3 linked regions of the Sus scrofa genome follow. The protein of the gene in region 2 purifies or fractionates together with the protein of the main gene of each other region. This does not show direct contact. Links are inferred from orthologs where the notes say so. Each region holds a gene or a part of one and is shown on either strand. Other genes may lie near its edges.

What was found. The genes of interacting proteins can lie anywhere in the genome.
Region 1: the proteins of FKBP5 (region 2) and IKBKG purify together in Homo sapiens (affinity purification with mass spectrometry; 3 studies listed by BioGRID and IntAct, with this or other methods). This does not show direct contact. The link is inferred for Sus scrofa from reciprocal best matches to the Homo sapiens genes FKBP5 and IKBKG.
Region 3: the proteins of FKBP5 (region 2) and CDK4 purify together in Homo sapiens (affinity purification with mass spectrometry; 3 studies listed by BioGRID and IntAct, counting the BioPlex papers as one, with this or other methods). This does not show direct contact. The link is inferred for Sus scrofa from reciprocal best matches to the Homo sapiens genes FKBP5 and CDK4.

Annotation. Positions count from the first base shown.
Region 1 is NC_010461.5:125,042,082-125,049,897, forward strand, and holds the start of IKBKG (NF-kappa-B essential modulator), read left to right. Parts: upstream 1-2,798; coding exon 2,799-2,985; intron 2,986-5,435; coding exon 5,436-5,647; intron 5,648-6,397; coding exon 6,398-6,516; intron 6,517-7,816. UniProt on the Homo sapiens protein: Regulatory subunit of the IKK core complex which phosphorylates inhibitors of NF-kappa-B thus leading to the dissociation of the inhibitor/NF-kappa-B complex and ultimately the degradation of the inhibitor.
Region 2 is NC_010449.5:31,447,362-31,454,551, forward strand, and holds part of FKBP5 (FK506 binding protein 5), read right to left. Parts: intron 1,916-7,190; coding exon 1,730-1,915; exon of another isoform or gene 1,313-1,729; intron 1-1,312. UniProt on the Homo sapiens protein: Immunophilin protein with PPIase and co-chaperone activities. Component of unligated steroid receptors heterocomplexes through interaction with heat-shock protein 90 (HSP90).
Region 3 is NC_010447.5:23,036,942-23,044,565, forward strand, and holds CDK4 (cyclin-dependent kinase 4), read right to left. Parts: upstream 5,019-7,624; 5' UTR 4,952-5,018; intron 4,507-4,951; 5' UTR 4,488-4,506; coding exon 4,270-4,487; intron 4,111-4,269; coding exon 3,975-4,110; intron 3,858-3,974; coding exon 3,690-3,857; intron 3,525-3,689; coding exon 3,415-3,524; intron 3,167-3,414; coding exon 3,116-3,166; intron 2,976-3,115; coding exon 2,840-2,975; intron 2,601-2,839; coding exon 2,508-2,600; 3' UTR 2,265-2,507; downstream 1-2,264. Other genes in the region: TSPAN31 (tetraspanin-31), read left to right, coding at 71-238, 461-541, 861-992, 1,283-1,396, 1,498-1,572.

The DNA.
Region 1 (7,816 bases), on a different chromosome or scaffold from region 2:
GTACCCACCTCCCAGCGTCAACAGTTATCAACCTGTTGCTACCTTTGCTTAATTTATACCCCTCATAATCTCTTATTTTCAAAAATAGCTTTATTGACATATAATTCACATACCACACAATTCACCCATTGAAAGTGAACAATTCACTGCTTTTCAGTATATTCACACACCTGCACAACCATCACCATTCATTCTCGAACATTTTCATCAACCCATCACCTTATCTACTTCAGTTCTAAGCATCTATTAGTCTTTCCATCTCTCTATGTTTGCCTATTCTGGATAGTTCACATAAATGGACTCATAATATGTGGTTTCTTGTGAGCTGTTTCTCTGTGTTGCTCAGTGTTTTTTTTTTTTTTTTTTTTTTTTTTTTTTTTTTTGTCTTTTTGCCATTTCTTGGACCGCTCCCGGGCATATGGAGGTTCCCAGGCTAGGGGTCCAATCAGAGCTGTAGCCGCCGGCCTACACCAGAGCCACAGCAATGTGGGATCTGAGCCGTGTCTGCAACCTACACCACAGCTCAGGGCAACGCCGGATCGTTAACCCACTGAGCAAGGGCAGGGATCGAACCCGCAACCTCATGGTTCCTAGTCGGATTCGTTAACCACTGCGCCACTCCTGCTCAATATTATTAACATGGTAGGGTAGGAATGTACTAGATTGTGTTTATTCATCAGTCGATGGACATGTAGGTCATTTCCACCCTTTGGCCGCTAAGAGCAGTCTCACGTGGACCTGTGTTTTCATTTTTCTCAGGTACATACCGAGCAGGTCCCCCATTACCTTGAACCAAATTCCAGGCACCTTATAATTTCGCTGTAAATGTTTCAGGATGCATCTCTAAGAATGGACTTTGAAAGAAACAACCACAGTACCAAGTATCACACCTAAAATAAGTTAACATTAATTGCTTAGTGTCCTCAAATAGATTCTAAGATACCTTTTGACGGGATTTCCCAATGGATTAGACGTGAGCCCTGAGGGCCAGAGAGGACTCAAGAAGGACTCCCAGGTTGTGTCCTGCTGACCGGAGGGTGGACGTGCTGTCACCTAATAATAAGGGAGGCTGTGGGTGGAGCCGGCTTCTGGGGACTGTGAGCAGTGCAGTTCTGGAGAGGTGAGTTTTGAGAGGAGGATTAGATGTCCAGCCTGAGATGCTGAGTTTGATGCATGGGGGTTAAAGCTGGGAGTCTGGATGGAATTAGCGCTGGAGTAGCTGTAGTTAGAGAAAAGATGAGATCCCAGAAAGGAGCCCCGGAGCATCACAGCATGAAAAGTGTGGCGAGGATGGTCCACGGAAAGAGCCAGAGCAGGAGCAGCCAGTGAAGTGGTGGCTGTTCTGGACTCAGGGCTCAGCGGTTGGTCAGATAGTGCTGGTGGGTCAGGGGGTTATTCAGAGAAGTATCAGTGTAACAGCGAAACGTCCCAGCTTGTTTGGTGTTAAACGTCTCTAGCTGCAGCTCAGGCTCTCTCCTGGAAGCTTCTTTTGGGATCGGCTTCCTCCTCCATGTAGTCGGTTTTCTTGGGCAGGATTTAAAAGGGCTCCGGGCGGGTGCTGTCCCGCAGAGCGCCCCCCTGCCCCCGCCTCTAGTTCACAGGACGATGCACACAGCTCAGCCTGACTCTCGGCCCTGCCACCTTAGGCTGCAAGCCCAGCTCCCGCTTTCGGGTGCTCAGCTCCAGGGAATGCCCACCAGGTTCTGAGTGGTCTCTGTGAAGCCCTTCTCACTAGGTACATTGATTTCCTAGGCTGCCGTGAGAGAGTCCAAGGCAGATGGCTTAAGACAACAGCATTTGTCCTCTCTCCGTTCTGGAAACCAGGAGCCTGAAGTCAGGGCGTGGCAGGGCCCTGTTCCCTCTGGGGGCGCCAGGGGAGGGTCCTTCCTGCCTCTTCCAGCCTGTGGTGGCTCCAGGCATCTCTGGGCTGGGGCCGCATCACTCCAGTCTCTGCATCTTCACGTGGCTTCTTCTGTGTCTGTCTCTCCTTTTGTGTCTCTTAGAAGGACACTCATCATTGGATTTAGGGCTCCCCTGATCCAGGAGGACCTCATTTCAGATCCTTCACTTGTATTACATCCTTTTCCTTCTTTCCTTTTCCCTTTCCCTTTTTTTTTTTTTTTTTTTTTTTTTTTTTTTGCTTTTTAGGGCTACACTTGAGGTATATGGAAGTTCCCAGGCTAGGGGTCTCATTGGAGCTGCAGCTGCCAGCCCACATGAGTGAGAGCCACAGTGACACGGGATCTGAGCTGCGTCTGTGACCTATACCACAGCTCACGGCAATACTGATCCTTAACCCGCTGTGTGAGGCCAGGGATCGAACCTGCATCCTTATGGATACTAGTTGGGTTCTTAACCAGCTGAGCCACAATGGGAACTCCAACAAATCCCCTTTCCCAATCAGTCCCGGTTCCGGGGCCCAGGGAGTGGACCCATCTTACTGCTTGGAGGTGTGGGGAGGGTGGGCATTCCAGCACAGCGACCCCTGCCTCCCAACCTCATCTCCGTCGATTCTCCTCTGTGGTGAAATCGGCAGCTTCAGCGTCCAGCCGGGAGCTAGCCTGAGGCGCCGTTTACGGCCGGTGCTGAACCGTGACCTTTGCGAGCCCCACATGAGGGGAATGTGAGCCACTCGTAGACCAAAGAGCCCTTTTTAGCGCCTTTTCCACTTGGCAAAGTGCTTGTCCTTCTGCCGAGCGTGGCCCTGGCACTCCCTGTCCTGCAGGGTAGGAGAGTTCTGCCTGGGTCTCCTCACGCGATGCCTCTGCTGGCATCTCTTTCAGACGCTGACTTGTTGGATGAGCAGGACCCCCTGGAAGAGTCAGCCGTGTGAGATGGTGCAGCCTAGCGGCGGCCCGGCAGGGGACCAGGACGTGCTGGGTGAAGAGTCCTCTCTGGGGAAGCCAACCATGCTCCACCTGCCTTCGGAGCAGGGTGCTCCTGAGACCTTCCAGCGCTGCCTGGAGGAGAATCAAGAGCTCCGAGGTGAGGGCGGCAGCGGGCCTGTGCCCCGAGATCCCGGGCCGGCGCCTCCCACCTGCCGCACCTCTGCCTTCCTGGGACTGGGGCGGCGTGCACCCGGGCGGGTTAGTGATTTGGTCCCAGCCGCCGCCCCCGCCCTGGTCCAGGTGGGGTTTCCGGGAAGTGGACGCCGAGATCCAGGGAGGCACGCAGGAGGTTTATTCAGAGTCCTCTGGGACCAGCCCTGCAGATGGGGAGGGGAGGGCAGGGCAGCGAAGAAGCAGGGGTGGGTGCAGGGAGAGGCCCACCCTGCAAGGGGCTTGAGCTGGAATATGGCCCTTCTGCGTTGTCCCGGTTGGGCCGACGCCGCCAGGCCCTGGTGTCTCCGTACTCATGTACTGACCAGTCAGTCAGAACCAGCCTTACTGGGAGGGGCGCGGGTCTCCTGGGAAGGGGGCGGGATCTGCTCCAGGAAGGGGGTGTGGTCTGCGCTGGGAACGGGCGTGGCCTCCCTGGGAAGGGCCGGGGGGCGGCTTTGGGAAGGAGGGGCCAGGCGGCGCCGGGGACCTGACGGAGGGCTGTGCTCCAGCAGCACTTGCCGGGGGCGGGGGGTCGAGGGCTTTTCGGCACCCCCCACCCCCCCGCCTCCGTCCCAGCCCCACTCACCCAGCCTCCGCGTCCTCCCCTGTATCGGGGTCACCTTCTCGGGTCCCAGGGGCCATGGCTCCGTGCCCCTCAGGTGTGACCCGTTCTTGGCCCCCTCGTGTGGGACAGCGCCCCCTCCTCCTCGGGTTTGTGCCCTGGGCCTCCGCTGCTGGCAAGCTGCCCCTTTGGTGCAGTAGCCTGGGGCATCCGGGGGGGGCACCCCTAGCCTCTCATTCAGTGACACTCTTGTGGGTGGGAGGTTTCTTTTGGGGGTGATGGGAATGCACTGGAACTAGAGGGAGGGGCGGGTGCACAACTATATGAATACATTAAAGCCACTGAATGACTGTGTATTTTTTTTGTCTTTTTTTAGGGCCTCATTGGGGGCATATGGAGGTTCCCAGGCTAGGGGTCAAATTGGAGCTGCAGCTGCCAGCCTACGTCACAGCCACAGCAATGCGGGATCTGAGCCTCATCTGTGACCTACACCACAGCTCATGGGCAACGCCGGATCCTTAACCCACTGACCAATGCCAGGGATCAAACCTGCGTCCTCATGGATGCTAGTCAGATTCTTTTCCGCTGAGCCACAACGGAAACTCCTGATTGTGTATTTTAAAATAGTTAAAATGGTGAATTTGCTGTTACGTGAATTTTACCTCAATTAAAAACAAAAGTTGTGGGTTTTCTTGTGGTGCAGCAGGTTAAGGATCCAGTGTTGCCACTGCAGTGGCTCAGGTCGCTGCTGTGGTGCAGGTTTGCTTCCTGGCCCAGGGACTTCACATGCCGTGAGTGCGGCCCAAAAAAAGATCTTTAAAAAAACCCCCAAAACAGAGGTTTTGTGGGAGCTGAGGTGAACCTCGGACGGAGGCTTGGCAGGTGGCCGTTGGGGGGGACCATCTGCCTTCGGCAAGAGGCCTTGTCCAAGGCTTGTTGGTCAGCTGCACAGGAGGAGTCATGTGGGGACCGTGGAGTCCAGAAGGTGGCTTTGGAGTGGGGCTCAGAATTTGCCGTAGGAGTTCCCTGGTGGCTCGGTGGGTTAAGGATCTGGTGTTGTCACTGCTGTGGCTCTGGTCGCTGCTGTGGCACGGGTTCAACCCCTGGCCTGGGAACTTCCACATGCTGCAAGTGCAGCCAAGAAAAGGAGGGGAGAGAAAATAACTTGCTGAAGTTCTAGTGAAAGAATGTTCCAGTAGCAGGCACCAGTTAGCTGGTCACGTGTTTTGACCAGAGGGTGACATGAAGCCACTGCCTGCCCCGTGTCATCTGGCTCTGTGCTTGCTAGAACCTCTGCGTGCCGCTGATGAGTTTTGTCGCTCACGATGGCCTTCTGCCGCCTGGGGTGTCCGCTGGGTGTGTGGGGAGAGGACGACCGACTGGTCCCCGAGTTGGTCTTGTGTGCCGGCTCTTGGCTGCTTGTTTGTGTGACCTTCCTTGTCCCGTGAGATGGGTGTCATCGTCCCCGTTGGGACATGTCGATGAGGATGGTGGGGCTTCGGTGACCGGCCGGCTGGCTCCAAGGCTTCCGGCCCCCAGTCTGCGGCAGCAGGGCCACAGGGACGTTTGCCCTGTGTGGCCGGCCCCCTGATCCTGGAGGCAGTGACCGGGTGCCCTAGGGTAGGCCTGCCTCCCACCCGAGCAGAACATAGACGAGTTCCAGCGTCACTTACAAAAAAGGTGGCATCGGACCCAGAGCTCTCAGTGCACCTGATGTGTTTAATGTTTGATTGGAAAAGCATGGGCACGTGATGGGCACCACTGCTTTTGAAAGTGCGCTGCCTGGGAGAGGCCGGCGCCCTCACCTCCCTCTGCGTCTCCTCTGCCGCCAGATGCCATCCGGCAGAGCAACCAGATGCTGCGGGAGCGCTGTGAGGAGCTGCAGCGTTTCCAGGGCAGCCAGCGGGAGGAGAAGGAGTTTCTCATGCAGAAGTTCTGCGAGGCCAGGCGCCTGGTCGAGAGGCTGAGCCTCGAGAAGCTGGAGCTGCGCAGGCAGAGGGAGCAGGCCCTGCAGGAGGTGGAGCTCCTGAAGACCTGCCAGCAGGTAGCGGGGCGCCGGCCGCCTGCCCTCTCCCCCGGGGGTCCCCAGGAGCACCCTCGGGCGGCCGCACAGAGTCGAGAGAAGCCGTTATCCTCGGGGCTCTGACCAGGGCGGGCGGGGGTGGTGGCAGTGGGCGCCTTAGCCAGCAGGGCCTGCGGACGGGCGTCAGGGCGATCGGCAGGCCGTTGGCTGGCTCAGTGGGGGTTCAGGGTTTGGAAGCCGTTGGCCTGTCCAGGGCAGTGGAAACCTTGAGACCGACCCGATCATCCTCAGGTGCACGCAGATGGGCGTGAAAAGGAGGGGGATGAGTGGCGGGCGGGGTGGGTGGCGCTGCGTGTAGGGGTGGGGGCCTGAGGCTTGACCCTGGGCCTGAGCAGCCTGAGGTCTCGGGCCCAGGGTTTGCACAGCCTTGGGAGGGCGTCTGGGCGGTGGGGAGTTGGAGAACTCTTGAGTTTTGGGGCAGGTGCAGGACTTGTGGGAACAGCGTCACTCCCTCTTACCTGCTAGTGGCCTGGGGCCCGGGGAGCGCGCAGGTTTCTGTCACATGTTTGAGTCTCAGCAAGGTGGGGAGACTCCTGCTGGGCTCAGCCCGCATGGGCAGCTCTGTGCTCCTCTGGCCCCATCCTCAGTGGCCTTGCTGGGGGAGAAGCTTCGAGAGATGAGAGGGAGATGAGTCGGGGTGCCGGGGGCAGGAGAGGAGCCCCGGGGGTGGCCGGTCTCAGTGCTGACGTGGCGTGGCTTCTTCTCGTGCAGCAGATGGCAGAGGACAAGGCCTCAGTGAAAGCCCAGGTGACGTCCTTGCTGGGGGAGCTGCAGGAGAGCCAGAGTCGCTTGGAGGCCGCCACCAAGGAGCGGCAGGCTCTGGAGAGCAGGTGAGCGTGGAGGGAGAGCCCTGCCCGAGGCCGCTGACTTTTTGCCAGAGTTTTGGATGATTCCCGAGGGGCCGTTTGCGGGGTGGGGGGGACGAGTCCACGTGATCACAGTGCCCTCCCGGCCCAGGACCCCCGAGGACGGAAGGCCCAGGGCGGGGGCGGAGCACCCCCTGCCTCTGGCCCCCTCCTCCTTTCCTCCCTTCTCTGGCGGCGACTTGGGCCTCCCTGGAGGCCTGGGGCGCCACTGGAGACTCAGCGCCCTGAGTTTGATGGAGGGCTGGTCATGGCCCAGCACACGCCAAGCCTCCTGACTCCTGGAGGAAAGCAGGTGCTCCCCATAGGCCACCGTGTTGTGCCCACGGTCTAGGCATGGGGACCTCCCTCATCTGGAGGGCGAGTGTCCTGGCAGCGTAGGGGACTCACACCAGCCCTGCTGGCCCCTCTCTTCTGCAGAGGCTGCTTCCTGTAGCTGTGCTCACCGGGTCAAAGGGCACGGGCGTCTCTGTGGTTCTCACGCTGCCCGGTGGCTGCCGTCCAGGGAGACGGGTCCAGGCGGCAGGGCTGGCCGCAGCTCTCCCGGTGCGCTGGGCGCTGCGCCCGGAGGCCCGAGGCGTTTCCCAGCGCGGCGTTTAGACGCCCCGCCATCCTCAGAGCGAGCGGGGAGCCTCCCTCTAGAAAGCAGGCGGCGAGGGCGTGTGTGTGGCAGGGCCGAGCCCGCTGGCCTGGTCGCCTTCCCGGTTCCCCGCCGGGCTCGTCTCTACCCCCACTTCTCTAAGAGGCACGTGTGTCATTTCTAGGACACTGCCACGTGTTTCTTGCCTTTTTTCTGTGCACATAAAAGAGACTGCTGGAGGCGTGACGCTGTCTGCAGTTTTGTGGCTGACTCTGCTCAGTTAATGACCCCGCAGTTGCAGGCTCTGGGCATCTTCCTCTCTTGTCCCCCCACGTGGCTGAGATGGAAATGCTGGCTGGCAGCTCAGGGCAGGGAGCCTGCTTGCGTCTCCCATCGCTCGGTGTGGCCATTTAAACAGATCCAGACTTCGTACATGTGGCGGCCCTTTGAGCGCCAGGCCTGTCACATCAGAACGGCTGTCCTCCTTGTTCTCGGGCCCCTGGCAGACAGCACTTCCGTCTGGCGATGACAATGCCGGCAGCTAAGTTTTGTCGGGTCACAGATGGACATCTGAGTTGGATATAGCTGGCCAGGTGTGGAGATGAGACCAGAGGAGAGGGCCAGGAGCCGCCCCCCACTCAGAACAGCCACTGTCGCCCCCGGGACACAGGATGACGTGGCTGCAGC
Region 2 (7,190 bases):
TCCCACGGCATATGGAGGTTCCCAGGCAAGGGGTCTAATCAGAGCTGTAGGCACTGGCCTACACCAGAGCCACAGCAACACGGGATCCGAGCCGAGTCTGCAACCTACACTACAGCTCACGGCAATGCCAGATCCTTAACCCACTGAGCAAGGCCAGGGATCGAACCCGCATCCTCATGGTTCCTAGTCAGATTTGTTAACCACTGCACCATGATGGGAACTCCTATAATGTCTGAATGTTTTTTGTTTTTGTTTTTTGTCTTTTTAGTTATTTCTTGGGCCACTCCCGCGGCATATGGAGGTTCCCAGGCTAGGGGTCAAATCGGAGCTGTAGCTGCCGGCCTACACCAGAGCCACAGCAATGCGGGATCTGAGCCGCGTCTGCAACCTACATCACAGCTCACGGCAATGCCAGATCATTAACCCACTGAGCAAGGGCAGGGACCGAACCCGCGACCTCATGGTTCCTAGTCGGATTCGTTAACCACTGCGCCACGACGGGAACTCCAATGTCTGAATTTTGAATGACTTTTTACTATGCTTCCATAATAAGGCACAAAGTTTTTAAAAATATAGTGTTTTTTTTTCCTCAGGCAGAAATTTAGTGTAACATTGCAGGGAACATGTTAATCCACAAAACTAAAAATATTTTTTGGCCACCCCTCAGCATATGGAGTTCCCAGGCCAGGGATCAGATCCGAGCCTCAGTTGTGACCTATGCACTGGATTCTTTAACCCACTCTGCCCAGCCAGGGATCTAAACTGTGTTCTGGCGCTGATCCCACTGTGCCACAGCGGGAACTCCAAAACTCAAAATCTTCAAACTCAAAAATAATTATGCAGTTATTAGATTTTACTCATAGTATAACATACACTGTTCATTCTACCACAGTAGCACCAGCTCTACATAAAAACAACAGAAAGGTACAGGTGACAGTAAAGTTCTGGTCTTTCAGAACTGAGGTGCCCTTAACAGTGTTAACAACATAAGAGTAATAAGGGAGGCGGACGCTTTGTGGGTCTTTCAAGGTAGGTATGTGTGCTCTTAGTCAGTGAATAAATATGATTACAATAAAAAGGGACTTGTACATATTCCTGCACGAGCAGTCAAAGTCCTAAAAGGCTTAAGTTTAATCTGTCCTTATTAAATTGAACCTGTGGAGTTATATATCCGATCTGGTACCAAATGCTGGAGACTTAAGGTCATAGATAAAATTGTTTAATTTTATCAAAACTTTTGTTCATAGTGTATTATTATTATAAGTAATCTAGGCATCAGTAAGGTATGATGAATTTCTGAGTTTCCTAATTCTTTTTTTTTTTTTTTTTTTTTTTTTTGCTTTTTAGGGCCACAACCATGGCATATGGAGGCTCCCAGGCTAGGGGTCGAATTGGAGCTGGAGCTGCCAGCCTACACCACAGCCACAGTAATGCCAGATCCCAGCCGCGACTGCGACCTACACCACAGCTCAGGACAACGCCAGATCCTTAATCCACCCCCTGCAGGCCAGGAATCGAACCTGCATCCTCATGGATGCTAGTCAGATTCGTTAACCACCCAGCCATGATGGGAACTCGGAATTTCCCAATTCTTACTGAGAAACAAATAGTCCCCAACAAAACAAAGCAAAACAAAAATCCCAAACCTGGGAGACGAGGAAGAGCAAGCAGAAGCCGACCATGCATGAGGCAAGACCACCTGGCATCTCTCCCCACGCAGTCACTTTACCTTGTCACAGCACTCCACGGCTTTGGTGTATTCTCGCAGCTTCAGGTAGCACATGGCCAGGTTCAGGAAGGCGGCGAGGAGAAAGGATTCTGAAGCTTTAGACTCCTTTTCTGACAAGCCGTACTCCATCTCTAGCCAGGACACTATCTTCCCATACTGAATGACGGCCTGCATGTACTTGCCTCCCTACGAGATAAACAAAAGCTAGGAATTATGTGCTGTGCGGGCTCAAAGGAAGGGTAAGCCCAGCCCTCCCTGAGAAATGACCACCTGGTCCCACCTGAGGACCCGTGGGTTCTCGGTCCTCCGGGCCCCTCCCCTTGTTTCTGAAGGCCGGTGATTCGGGCGGGGCTCAGGCCCGGCCCTGCAGTGCTCTCCTCCCCAACTGCCCGCCTCACCCTCCCAGAGGGGCCGTTCTGTCAGCAGGCTTTGGGGTCACATTCTTTGGTGCTAATATTCATCGGATTTCCAAGAGGCTGGTGAGTCTAGGCTGTGTCACTAGCTTACTGGAAAGGGAAGTTACTTTTCCCCTTTCTCCTGATGGTCGGCGCTGCACAGCAGACATCATGTCCTAGAGCAAATGCTAGTCCCAAACCCAGCAAATCGCAGTTACTGAAACCCAAGGTTGGCAACCTCTTCCTGTAAAGGAGCAGATAATATTTTACGCCTCGCAGGCTAAACAATCTCTGTTGCAACTCTGTCCTTGGTAGCACAAAAGCAGCAATAGACAGCTGATAAATAAGTGGGTGTGGCTGCGTCCCAGTAGAGCCTCACTCCCGAAAACAGGCTGTGGTCTGCTAACCGCTCATCTACAGACGACGGGAAAACGCACAGATGAAGAGCAGCAGTCCCACATACAGCAGACATAAACCACATAGGTGTCAGTCAGCCAACTCCATGAGAAAAATCTGAGTCACATTTTAGCTCTCGCCTAATTAGAATTCTAATGATTGTGACTAACAACTGTGTAGTTAATCCATGTGAATTATATATACGTGCTATACAAGAAATGACAATGTGTTTACTGCCATTTTAGGATGGATGTAAGGAGTGAGAGCCACTTAAACACACAAATAAGACGGGGGTACAGGTGAGGGGTCTCCTCGGTAGGAGGCGGCTATAAGCTGGCAGAACTGCATCCAGACCCAAATCCAGTGTCTGCCCGACGAGCATGTTACGATCCCTTCACCAGGGTTACCAGTCAAGGCAGAGCACATGCTCCCAGCACACACAGAACTCACCCAATGACTGAGAAGAGAAAAAGCGGAGCAGATCTACGAGAATGTTGTTATGAAGGACTCTAGCTGGAGAAGGAAGCCTCGATGTCCCTTTTGGGGCAGGGCCTGGGTCTGACCGTACAGACCCAGCTGACAGTGGGGTCACCCCCAGCACCACCACGGTGCACTGACAATGCATTTACTCGCTGAACAGACTGCACAGCACAGCTTAGCCGGGCCCACCTTAAGCCTGGGCAGATCCTCATCGTTTACCACAAAGACTACTTTACCAGAAGTGTTGACTCCCCCACGTAAGGAATCCTGTGCTGAGAACGTCTGCCCTCCTGGTCTTAGGACCGACTGGGGGCTGCGCTCACTGCTGACCAGCGTCATGAGAGGGTAGCACACACATCACTGGCCAGGAGAAGGCAAACCCCCAAATTCCAGGTGTGGGTTCTACTGAGGGGGTGCTGCTCTCACACCTTTTTTTTTTTTTTGCCTTTTCTATGCACCCGTGGCATATGGAGGTTCCCAGGCTAGGGGTCCAATCGGAGCTGTAGCCCCTAGCCGACGCCAGAGCCACAGCAAAGCGGGATCTGAGCCGCATCTGCGACCTACACTACAGGTCACGGCAACGCCAGGGATTGAACCCAAAACCTCACGGTTCCTAGTTGGATTTGTTAACCCCTGTGCCACGATGGGAACTACGGGAACTCCTCTCGAACCACTTTTCAGTCCGTCTGCACTTACGGTCCGTCACAGCCTGAGGCCACTGCTCAAGAACACAGCTCCCCCGGGTCAGGGTGAGGCATTTTCTGTCACTCTCTTTTCTCTTGCTGGACTGTGAGCTCTTTGAGGACAGAAACCATGTCCGACCCCTTTTGGAATACCCAGGGTTTAACACAAGGTGGCTCTTAAGGAAGGTCTGCTGAGTAAACATTAAGGTCAAAGGACTATAACTATGGAGTGAGTCAAAAGTTTTTCAGTCACTGGGAGCAAAATGGAGGTGCGGGTGGAAATGAGAAAGGGGTCATTCCACTCAGGTCAGGCACTTCCCTGTTATGTCTTGCTTCCTCTTTCCCTCTCCTCCATCTTCCACGTACCAATTTCCTTTCTGATTATCTAATATATTGTCACAGGGAAAGAAAAGAAGTGCCAGGGAGGATAAGGCCCCAGGTGTTAAAACTTCAGTAGGTTCTGATATCAGAATGGTAGAATGCTATGGTTTCTTACAAAAACTCCCAAAGTAAGAAGACTTCATAATACACAAATGTTCCTTTACATTTATAAAGCATTTTTTAAAAGAGCCACACCTGTGGCATATGGATGTTCCCAGGCTAGGGGTCAAACTGCAGCTGCAGCTGCCAGTCTATGCCACAGCCACAGCAATCAGGACCTGGCCTTGTCTGCAACCTACATCACAGCTCACCGCAACACTGAGAGCAACCCACTGAGCAAGGCCAGGGATTGAACCCGTATCCTCACGGATACTAGTCAGGTTTGTTAATGCTGTCACGACAGGAACTCCCTCTAGAGCATTTTAATGCTCTTTCATGTATGGCATACATAATTTTATTTATATCTCAATGTCTAAAGCAAAAGTTTTTGTGCTATTTCTGCTTCTGACATACTAAAGACAGGAGTTCTCAACCAGGGTGACTTTGCCCCCCAGGGACATTAGGCAGTGCTCAGAGATGTTTTTAGCTGTCACAAGTGGAGAGGGTGTGTGGGTTTCTGGCATCCAGTGGTCAGGGCCAGGAATCTGCTAGGTATCCTACACCACACAGGACAGCCTCCCAGCAAACAGAAGTATACAGCCCCAAATGTTAGTTGTGCTCAGGCCGAGAAATCCTGCCCTAAAAGAATGAAGGAAAGAGGAAAGGGGGGAGATTGAGGGTTTTTCTTTAACCTAAAATCCTCACATCATGGATGACTTGTCTCTACATCATAGCACTGGTTTCTGGGTTTGGCAGTGATTGTTCAAAACATAGCAAAGCCTGGTTTGTCTACAAAGGGTTCTGTGGGTTGCAAGATACGGAACTTGCTTGCTTTAGAAATGCTTCTCCCCAAGGAGCACAAGGGGGCGTAAGAGCCCCATAGCACCAAGGTGTCCTCAGCCTTCTGACCACTGCCTCCAAGTCGGAAAAGAGAAACACTGCCCAGGTGTGAGAATTAATGCTCTCGGCCTGGAAGAACACTGCCTGCCTGACCTGCACAGTCCCGGCAGGACGTCATTGCTATTAAATGTGCTTGATAGTTATTTTCAGAGTGAAAGGAAGAGAGTCCTTGCCTACCTTTCTTCTCTTTAGTGTTCAGAGGTTGATGGGAGTTTCTAAACACCAAAATCATTCCCATTTAAAAGCTTATTACAGTTCTACCCCACTAAGGGGAGAGATTTACCCACTTAGGTGTAAACCAAACTGACAGGTAATGAAGGTGGAGCTCCAGCGTGCGACGGCCGTGAGATGTGCCCCAGTTCTGTGCTCACAGAGAGCCGGACTCTGCGTGTGCACACTGCGCCCTGTGCAACACCCTGCAGAGCCCAGGCCCGGGAAGGCAGTGTAGCAGATAGAAACCTTCTGAAAAGGGAATGGGTATGGGAACCTATCTACCAACCATTTCTGAAGATGGGATCTTTTACCTATCATTATGAAGGTGCCTCCAGGGAAGTTTTGAGTAGTACAAAATGTTCAGAGACATTCTGGGAGAAAAATCTTAGGTCAGTGGTTTTGAACCTTTCATTAATTTTCCCCCAATAGACTAATGTTTTGGAAGATGTTGTCTATCAAATTGCATGTTAAAAATAATATGTTCCATATGTGTGACTGCTGATCCAGATTTTATCCGAAGATCAGTCATTGTAAGAGGGTTCATATTATGAAATACACAAATCACTACTGCAGCTGTGATGCTAAGAAGCAACAAAGTTAAGTAATTGTATAGCAACTTGAGCCCTTCTTTTTGCTGCTAATCACCAATTCCGGCCATCTCTCTGTATCTATTCAGGATAGCTTTAGGTCATGGCTTTGCAACATTATTTCATTATCATTAGTGTTCCCCAAAGTTCAGAGTTATCAGCAACCAATCAGAGCTTCTAAACAGCTAAATTGTTTCATTAGACCAAGTTGATTTAATTCTAGTCAAATTCCAAAAGCCTCAATCCCCCACCTCCAAGTGTTAATATTCTATTTAGCAATTTTGGGAAATGTAAAAAAAATATTTAAAGACTACATATAGTTCATATTGTCTTAAGGGATTTTACAGAAAATTTTATTCTAGTGTATTATATATTTGGGTCTACAAACAGCTCATTTGGAATCCTGAGCAGTTATAGCAACCAAGTTAAGTAGAATTTAAAGAAAATCAAACGTGTTCTCAAATGCACACTGGTGGTATAATGGTGAGCATGGCTGCCTTCCAAGCTTGCTCTCTAGAATTTAGAAATGCACAGAATTTTAGAGCTGGAAAGAAACCTGGGAATCATATAATTTAATTTCCTCACTTTTTACATGAAAAAAAATAACCTCTTTGGATCTCTACTGACTTTAAGTCATTTGTGGCCATAGAGTCCAGTTTTCCCAATTCAGAGCTCATCCCACCCTATCTCAATGCTTTCTGGTGATGCAAACATTATCTTAGTACATACAATAGTTCTACATAAATAATTATATATTATTTATACCCACAGTAAGAAATGTTTTAAATTATGATCTAGTATCCACTCAACACACAACTGAACAAAAGTTTTATGAAACAAAATTTGTCCTAACTACATAATGTAATACACTTCCACTAAGTTGACTTCATGACCCAACAATGGGGCTCCTCTCACAGTTGAGAAAACAATGGTATCGATGATACAGGCTTATATAATTCTCTGGTTGTTTCATGTTGGGTAACGCTGCCTCCCCTCCCTCCAGACGAGGCTGTCAACGCAAGGATATGTCTTATAGCAGCTTCTCCATAAACACTTGCTGAAGTACAATAATGCTTTGGACCATCGAAAACATCATCTAAATTTTTTTGGTTCATGGATTGTAGTGGCAAGACAAAAAAAAAAAAAAAAGAACCCTGGACAAAACTCCCAATCTCTCTCTCTCTCCTGCACCAAGCCCTTGGTGCTCGAGGAGGAGAAGGTATGTATTTGGGGAAGGAACAACGGGTAGAGCACTCTGATTAGAGAAGAACAAGGTGCTATTTTTCTTTTCTTTCAAAAAAATCTCAGGGTTTAAAATCTAAGTGAG
Region 3 (7,624 bases), on a different chromosome or scaffold from region 2:
CTCCCCTAAAGCCTTTGGCTGTGGTGCATACTGAAACTATTTGAGATGCATCCTGCTCTGTTTCCCATAGCTGGTAGGCTTGTTGCTCATTGGAGTGGCTGCTTGGGCTAAAGGCCTGGGTCTGGTGTCCAGCATCCACATCATCGGAGGAGTCATAGCCGTGGGAGTCTTCCTTCTTCTCATTGCGGTGGCTGGACTGGTGGGTGCTGTCAACCACCATCAAGTACTGCTATTCTTTGTATCCTGACCTGAAGTGATGGGGCCCCTGGAGCTCTTGGGAGGGCTGAATCAGCTAGGAAAAAGTTAGAAGGGTCGAGCCCCCTCCATACCATACTCTATAAAGCTGATTAACTGTATTGTTTTCAACTGACTTGGTTGTGTAAGTTCTATGAATAGGTAAGCTCAGATAGAACATAAAGGAATCTGTTGGGACTTTTTTTCCCTTAACTCGTCCTCTCAGTACATGATCATCCTTGGCTTGGTCTTCATCTTCCAGTTTGGAATCTCTTGCTCATGTCTGGCTATTAACCTAAGCAAACAGGTAAGGTGGCACCCCTTCAGGTACTTATTCCCCCCCGCACTAACTCCTTACTCAGTCGGGCAACAAAAACTATTACTAGGCCCACTACCTTCAGACCCTTGAGCCATATCCTTCCTCTGGGATGTCTGGCTAATTGTCCATGAGGATGATCCAGGAGAAAGTGGGTAGTTATCCCTATGTGCACCTTTACTTCTGAAGGAAAACTCCCTTTACTCGAACAGGGAAAACTGAGGCACTTGAACTGAGATCAGGATGTAAGGAGATTCTTAATTAAGGTTAGCAATAGCAATAATTTCTTTCTGCCTGATATATTCTCCAGACAGATATCATCAATGCTTCTTGGCGGGTCATGAGCAACAAGACTCGGAATGAACTGGAAAGAAGTTTTGATTGCTGTGGCTTGTTCAACCTCACAACCCTGGATCAACAAGATTATGCTTTCTGCACTGCAGTGAGTTGGTGCAGAAAAAGTGGGGGGAGAGGGTAGGAAAACTGGGTTAAGGACAGTGCCATATTGGCAGATTTGAGTTTGTGACTGGCAGCTCAGTTTTATTGAGGGCTGTGTGCTGGTAGGAGTGGGGGTGGATACAGAGGCCAAGGAATCATCCACATGGGATTCCAGGCTGTAGGATGCTGATCAGGAAGTGGGAATATAATTTCTAGGGCCATTCACCACTAGGTATTAGACTAGAGCAGCATAGCAACTCTGCATTCTCCTAACTCCCATATGTTTATCCTCAGATCTGCAAGAGCCGGAGCCCCTCATGTCAGATGTGTGGAGAGAAGTTTCTTAGGCATTCAGATGAAGCCCTGAAAATCCTGGGAGGTGTTGGACTCTTCTTTAGCTTTACAGAGGTAACATTCTCCAGTTGCCTAATGTCCTTTCTCTACATCTGTTAAGTCTTAGTCCCAGAGATTCAAAATTGTTGCTCACCTCTTCCCCTCTGCTTCTACAGATCCTTGGTGTTTGGCTAGCAATGAGATTTCGGAATCAGAAGGACCCTCGAGCCAACCCTAGTGCCTTTCTATGAGATGCTGAATCCTTCTGACTTTTCTCCCGCTGTTTGCTCTCCCTAAGCCTTTTTTTTCCCCCTCCCTTAGGGAAAACCTGGGGTTTACAGCCCTTTTTGTTTGAGGAAAAAGGAAAGGTCTTTTGCCATGTTCCCTAGATGACTGAATAGCTAGGCTTTATGCCTTGACATGTTTTGTTGGGAACAAGATTATAAAGAATAAAAAAACCTTCCTTCCTCTCTCCCTAAGTGGATATGGAAAGCTCCTGAAAGTGCATGAGATGGGATAGAGGTCGGAGGAACTCCTGGCTCTGTTTCCCCTCTTCTCCCTTCCATGTGCTGGACTGCCTCAACACATCCTGGCTCCAAGGGTAAATCAGGGACAAAGCCAGGGAGAAAACCACCAAGAACTCTTGTAATAAGCTGGACCCAGTTTGAAGAAGTTCAGTAAATATAAAAATAAAAGCCATTTAAACTCTATATTCAAAAAAGCAACATAAGTGCCTTTTCTTCTTTTGCCAGTTAAGGAGCTCCACTGACTCTATAGACTCTATGATTCTGTGGGGAAGTGCCATCTTCCAAATGTTTTTTTTTTTTTTTTTTTTTTTTCAAATCCCTAAATCAGAGGAAAAAACATTCCCAGAAAAAAGACCGTATTTCTTTGTTTTGTTTCTCCTGTATAAAAAAGGATTCTAGTATCAAGGTACAGGGAAGGGGAGAGCAAGGAACATACCCCTTGGTGTAAGGAAATGGGGGGGGGTAAGTCTCAAAAGGAGGGGAGGGAGGGGAATGTCATTAAGGCAGCAAAATATTCTCTGTAAAAAGACAGAGGCAGTCGTCTCCACACCCCAGAGATGAAGGCAGAGATCGACTTCTCGGCAAGGGACTCTCAAGTGTTCAAAGGAAGGGAAGTGTTGGCTTCTCTTCTCTTGGTTCTGTTGCAACCATTCCATTGCTCACTCTGGGTTACCTTCTGCCTTATGTAGATAAGAGTGCTGCAGGGCTCGGAAGGCAGAGATTCGCTTGTGTGGGTTAAAAGTCAGCATCTCCTAAGAAGGGAGGCAAAGGTCAGAAAACTGTGAAGAAAACAAAATAGACTTCTACTCACCCTTAACAATATCTAGAATGGGTTCTTTTCTATCTCTCTTTGTGGACTGCCATTCAAAGCAGCAAGAGAAAACTAGCCCATCCACTAATGAGTCTCAGTGATCACAATGTGTTTGGGTCCCTTTTATACTGCTGTTTTTTCACCCCAATCTCACCCTGTGCCCATACCCAAGCCCAGTACCAGTAGCAGCTGTGCTCCAGACTCCTCCATCTCAGGTACCACCGACTGCACTGGGCGGGGCCCTCTGGGGGAAAAGGCTCCTCGGGGTAGAGACACATCTCGGGGCCAGTCATCCTCTGGGGGCAGCCCAATCAGGCTATGGGAAACAGGAGAACTCTGGTCAGGAGGGCCCGTCTCTAGCCCCCACCCCCAGGGGCAGAGCCAGTTTCCAACCAGGGCTCAGCAGAAAGAGGACGACTAAGAATGGAAAACTCTTTTCCCTTCCCAATCACTTACTCAAAGATTTTGCCTAACTGGTCAGCTTCAGAGTTTCCACAGAAGAGAGGCCTGAGGTGAGAAAAGACATAAGACAGCAGTCATTTTCAAACATATGGTGGAAGAATGATTACAGCTTAGTAGCTCAGAACATCGGGTATGTAGAATAAAGAGCTATGGAATTCCTAATTCCAGGATATTTCAGAGCTTCTGGTTATAGACCAGATGGTCAGGAGTACTCAAGTAGAAGAGTGGCCATGACATGGATGTGGTTTATGAATAAGAGATTTGGGAAATTATGGGTTATTTGGGCCCCATACTTTCGACGAAACATCTCTGCGAAGATACAGCCAACGCTCCACATGTCCACAGGTGTTGCATACGTAGACTGCAAAAGAACTTCTGGAGCACGGTACCAGAGTGTAACCACCTAATAGGAATAAGAAGGGTCGATGAGGTCCCTACTCCTTACCATGAAGCACAACTGCTTCACTGAAGTCAAGCACGTAAAAAACACGTGACTTCCCAACTGCTACGAGCAAGCATTCTCCTCCCACTAACCAGAAGCCATTTTGGCTACCATCTTTCTACTGACCACAGGTGTAAGTGCCATCTGGTAGCTGTAGATTCTGGCCAGGCCAAAGTCAGCCAGCTTGACTGTCCCACCACTTGTAACCAGAATGTTCTCTGGCTTCAGGTCTCGATGAACGATGCAGTTGGCATGAAGGAAATCTAGGCCTCTTAGAAACTGACGCATCAGATCCTGGTTTAGAAGGGGGAGGTACAGAGAAACTGGAAACTAGGCATCATACTGGAAGCCACAACAGATGCTACTACAAAGATCCCAGTTTACTTCTCAGTATATGTCCATCCTACTCACCTTGATGGTCTCCACCGGCAAGCCTGGTGGGGGTGCCTTGTCCAGATATGTCCTTAGATCTTGGTCCACATGCTCAAACACCAGGGTCACTTTGGTCTCTCGATCAGTTCGGGCAGTGGCACAGACATCCATCAGCCTGGCCAGAACAAAAGGTCACTCAGTGATCAATCATCTTTGACCTAACATGGCTTCCCCTATTCCTTCAGGGTCCCCACTTCTTTCAACCACCACTCCCCACCTACAGGTTGTCTATTCCTTTTTACTACCCACTCCCAACCCTCCACCTTCTTCTCACCGGACAACATTGGGATGCTCGAAAGCCTCCAGCCGGCGCAGTAAGGCCACTTCACGAACCGTGCTGATGGGCAGGCCCCCTCCAGCACCTCCTCCATTGGGGACTCTTACGCTCTTGAGGGCCACAAAGTGGCCACTGTGGGGATCCCGTGCTTTGTACACGGTCCCATAGGCACCAACACCAATCTCCGCCACTGGTTCATACCGGGAGGTAGCCATTCTCAGACCAGATGAGACCCTACAATCACAGAGACTCCTGCCACCAAATTCCCTTCCAGAGTTCAAATAGTTATGAGCCTGCGGCAACAAAGTGTCTCGCACAAAACATATCCCAAAGACAACAAGAGCAGCATCCCGTCCCTTCCCCAAATTTCCATAAGGCCGACCCCCCTAGGTAACACAATGATTAACCAAAAGCCCTCCAGCCACGTGAGGCCCTAGAATTAAAAAATTCCTTCTTCTTTGGGACTATCAAGCCCTGTACAAGGGAAATCCCACACGACACACCCCCTGCATTGAAGACCCTTCACCTAGTCCTTTAAATTACACCTCCCTATGACCACAAAGGAACATACTACACCCTGCACCACTTCCCGCCCTCGAGCGACCCTTCCAGACCAGCCCGCGTAGGAAGCCGGGGAGGACTAGAATGGTCCCTATTCCTGGAAGGGGGCTACACTTACCTCGCCCCGTGTCAGGAGCTGCGGGGGCGGCCCGTTATCGGGGCCCCGGAGCCGGTTCTTGCAGCGCCATGCACTCGAGCTCTGTCTGGGGCAGCTGGACTCTACGGGCCCGACCATAGACATAGGCCGCAGGCTAGAGCGGCCCCCTTTGCCCCCACCCTCACCATGTGACCAGCTGCCAAAGAGGCGCGCGGAAACTGGCAGGGCGGGGCGAATGTGCCGGACGTTCGGAACACGTGACCAGAGTACGCGTGCGCAGAAAGGCAGCTTGGAGCCTATTTGACCGGGAAGGGGGCGGGGAAGGGAAAGGGGCGGAGGGGCGATGGCAGCCACGTGATCTGTTGCTATCACACGTGACCGCTTGACTGCTTGGAGGAGCAGAGGTGTGGTTACGCTGTAGGGCACGTGACTGGCTGCCGTAACTCTGGCGAGGGGGGGGCGGGAGCCTAGAGAAGGTGGAGTCCAATACGGTGCCATGGCAACCTGGGCCACCCAGATCCCAATTCCCCATTGCAGGCCGAGCCGGAGCGCCAACTCCAGTGTCACTATGCGTCTGTCACTCTATATGCAGAGTGGGGGGCCTGGGGACGTGAGGAGGTGCTGTCGCCTTTATGTACCACCGCCATCGGAAAACATATTCTCATTTGTGTCTTTGTTTCATTCACTCATTCAACAAATTTTTACCGAACGCTTACTTCCTGTGTAAATGTACGGTTTTTGCTACATGAGTTTTTTTGGTGTCTCAGGCACTAGCCCTTTAAGGTAGTGAAAAGGCTATATGTAAAGATATAGCCGGCAGCGTGATCATATAAAATAGAGAGGACACAATACCCGTTTTAGGGCAAAACTAGCATTAAAGGACTGATGGAAGGCAGATAAATACAGTAATCCAACAGGAAGCGTGGCAAGGTAGTGTGCCTTCACCTCTTCAGAACTTCCATTTCTCCCTGGGAGTGTTAAAGCAGAATCTAGATACCTCCTGGCAGAGAGGTTATTAATGAGCTGGAAACAGGAATACTTGACCTTTAAGGTTCTTTTCCAGAGTTCCTGCTGTGGTGCAGCGGGGTGAGATCCGTTGAGTTAGTTGTCTCTGTGGTGGCACAGGTTCAACCCTACCAGGCGCAGGGGGTTAGCGATCCCACGTTGATACATCTGCAGCTCGGATTCAGTTCCTGGCCGGGAACTTCCATATGCCACAGGTGGGGCCAAAAAAAAAGTTTCTTTTCTGCACTAAGATGGTGTGTGTGTGTGTGTGTGTGTGCACGCGCGCGCGCACGCTATTATATACATCATATACAGATGGATATAGGAATGAGTGTGTGCAAGGAAGTTACCACCACATTGCATAAAAATGACTATGCCCTTGTCCAAACCTTCTAACTTTTTATATGGGGCCATTGAGTGGCCTTCTCTTCCACCAGTGCAAGCTTCCTTAGCCTTTGTCCCTCCACAGAACAAATGTTCCCCACTCACAGACATCTAGGTAGGCAATAGGCAGGTTTCTCTGGCTTCTCTTGTCTTACTGGCTCCAACTTCTTTATCTCCCAACCCTTTGGGGGAATGGGGATAAGGAAACGTAAGGATCAGTGTCTCATTAATGATAAACTGTCTAATATCTGAAACCATTCTATTAGTCTATTTGCTCTCCTTGCACCCTAACTTCTGTTCTCCTTAACCATCTGGCTGAGGATGTCAAGCTTGAGATGAACATAAATTGTGTTGCATTCTTTTTTTTTTTGTCTTTTGTTTTTTTTTAGGGCCACACCTGTAGCATATGGAGGTTCCCAGGCTAGGGTTCGAATCAGAGCTGTAGCTGCCAGCCTACACCACAGCCACAGCAATGCTGGATCCTTAACCCACTGAGCGGAGCCAGGGATCTAACCTGAGTCCTCATGGATACTAGTCAGGTTCATTAACCACCGAGCCATGGCTGGAACTCCATGTTGCATTCTGAAAGTTCTAGCTCTGGGCCCTTGCTGGCAAGGGCAGCTGGGATACTAGTAAGAAACATCTCAAGGTCTAAACTGGCTAAATTGCTCCATTGGCTGTTTTGCTAGGAACGTTCCTGAAGTCTGTCTCTGAGTGTGCCGAACTCCCTTCCCATACCAGCAGGGTTCATTTTAGCCTCACCTTCCAATGAAGCCCCCCTACAACTCACTGTCTTTAAAATAGAACTCATTCTCTGGGAGTTCCCTGTTGTGGCTCAGTGGTCACGATCCTGACTAGCAACCACAAGGATGCAGATTCTATCCCTGGCCTCCCTCAGTGGGTTAAGGATCTGGCGTTTCGGCAATCTATGATATAAGTCGAAGACACTTCGTAGGCTGGCAGCTTTAGCTCTGATTAGACCCCCTAGCCTGGGAACTTCCATGTGCTGCAAGTACAGCCCTAAACAACAACAACAAAACAGATAGAAGTCATTCTCTATGTTGGCTTGGGTTCCAGCCCCTTTTTCATCTTTTTTTTTTTTTTTTTTTGTCTTTTTAGGGCTGCACCCATGGCATATGGAGGCTCCCAGAATAGGGGTGGAAATGGAGCTGTAGCCACTGGCCTATGCCACAGCCATAGCAATGCCGAATCTGAGCCAAGTCTGCCACCTACACCACAGTTCACAGCAATGCCAGACCAGGGATCAAACCCACAACCACATGGTTCCTAGTTGGATTCATTAAC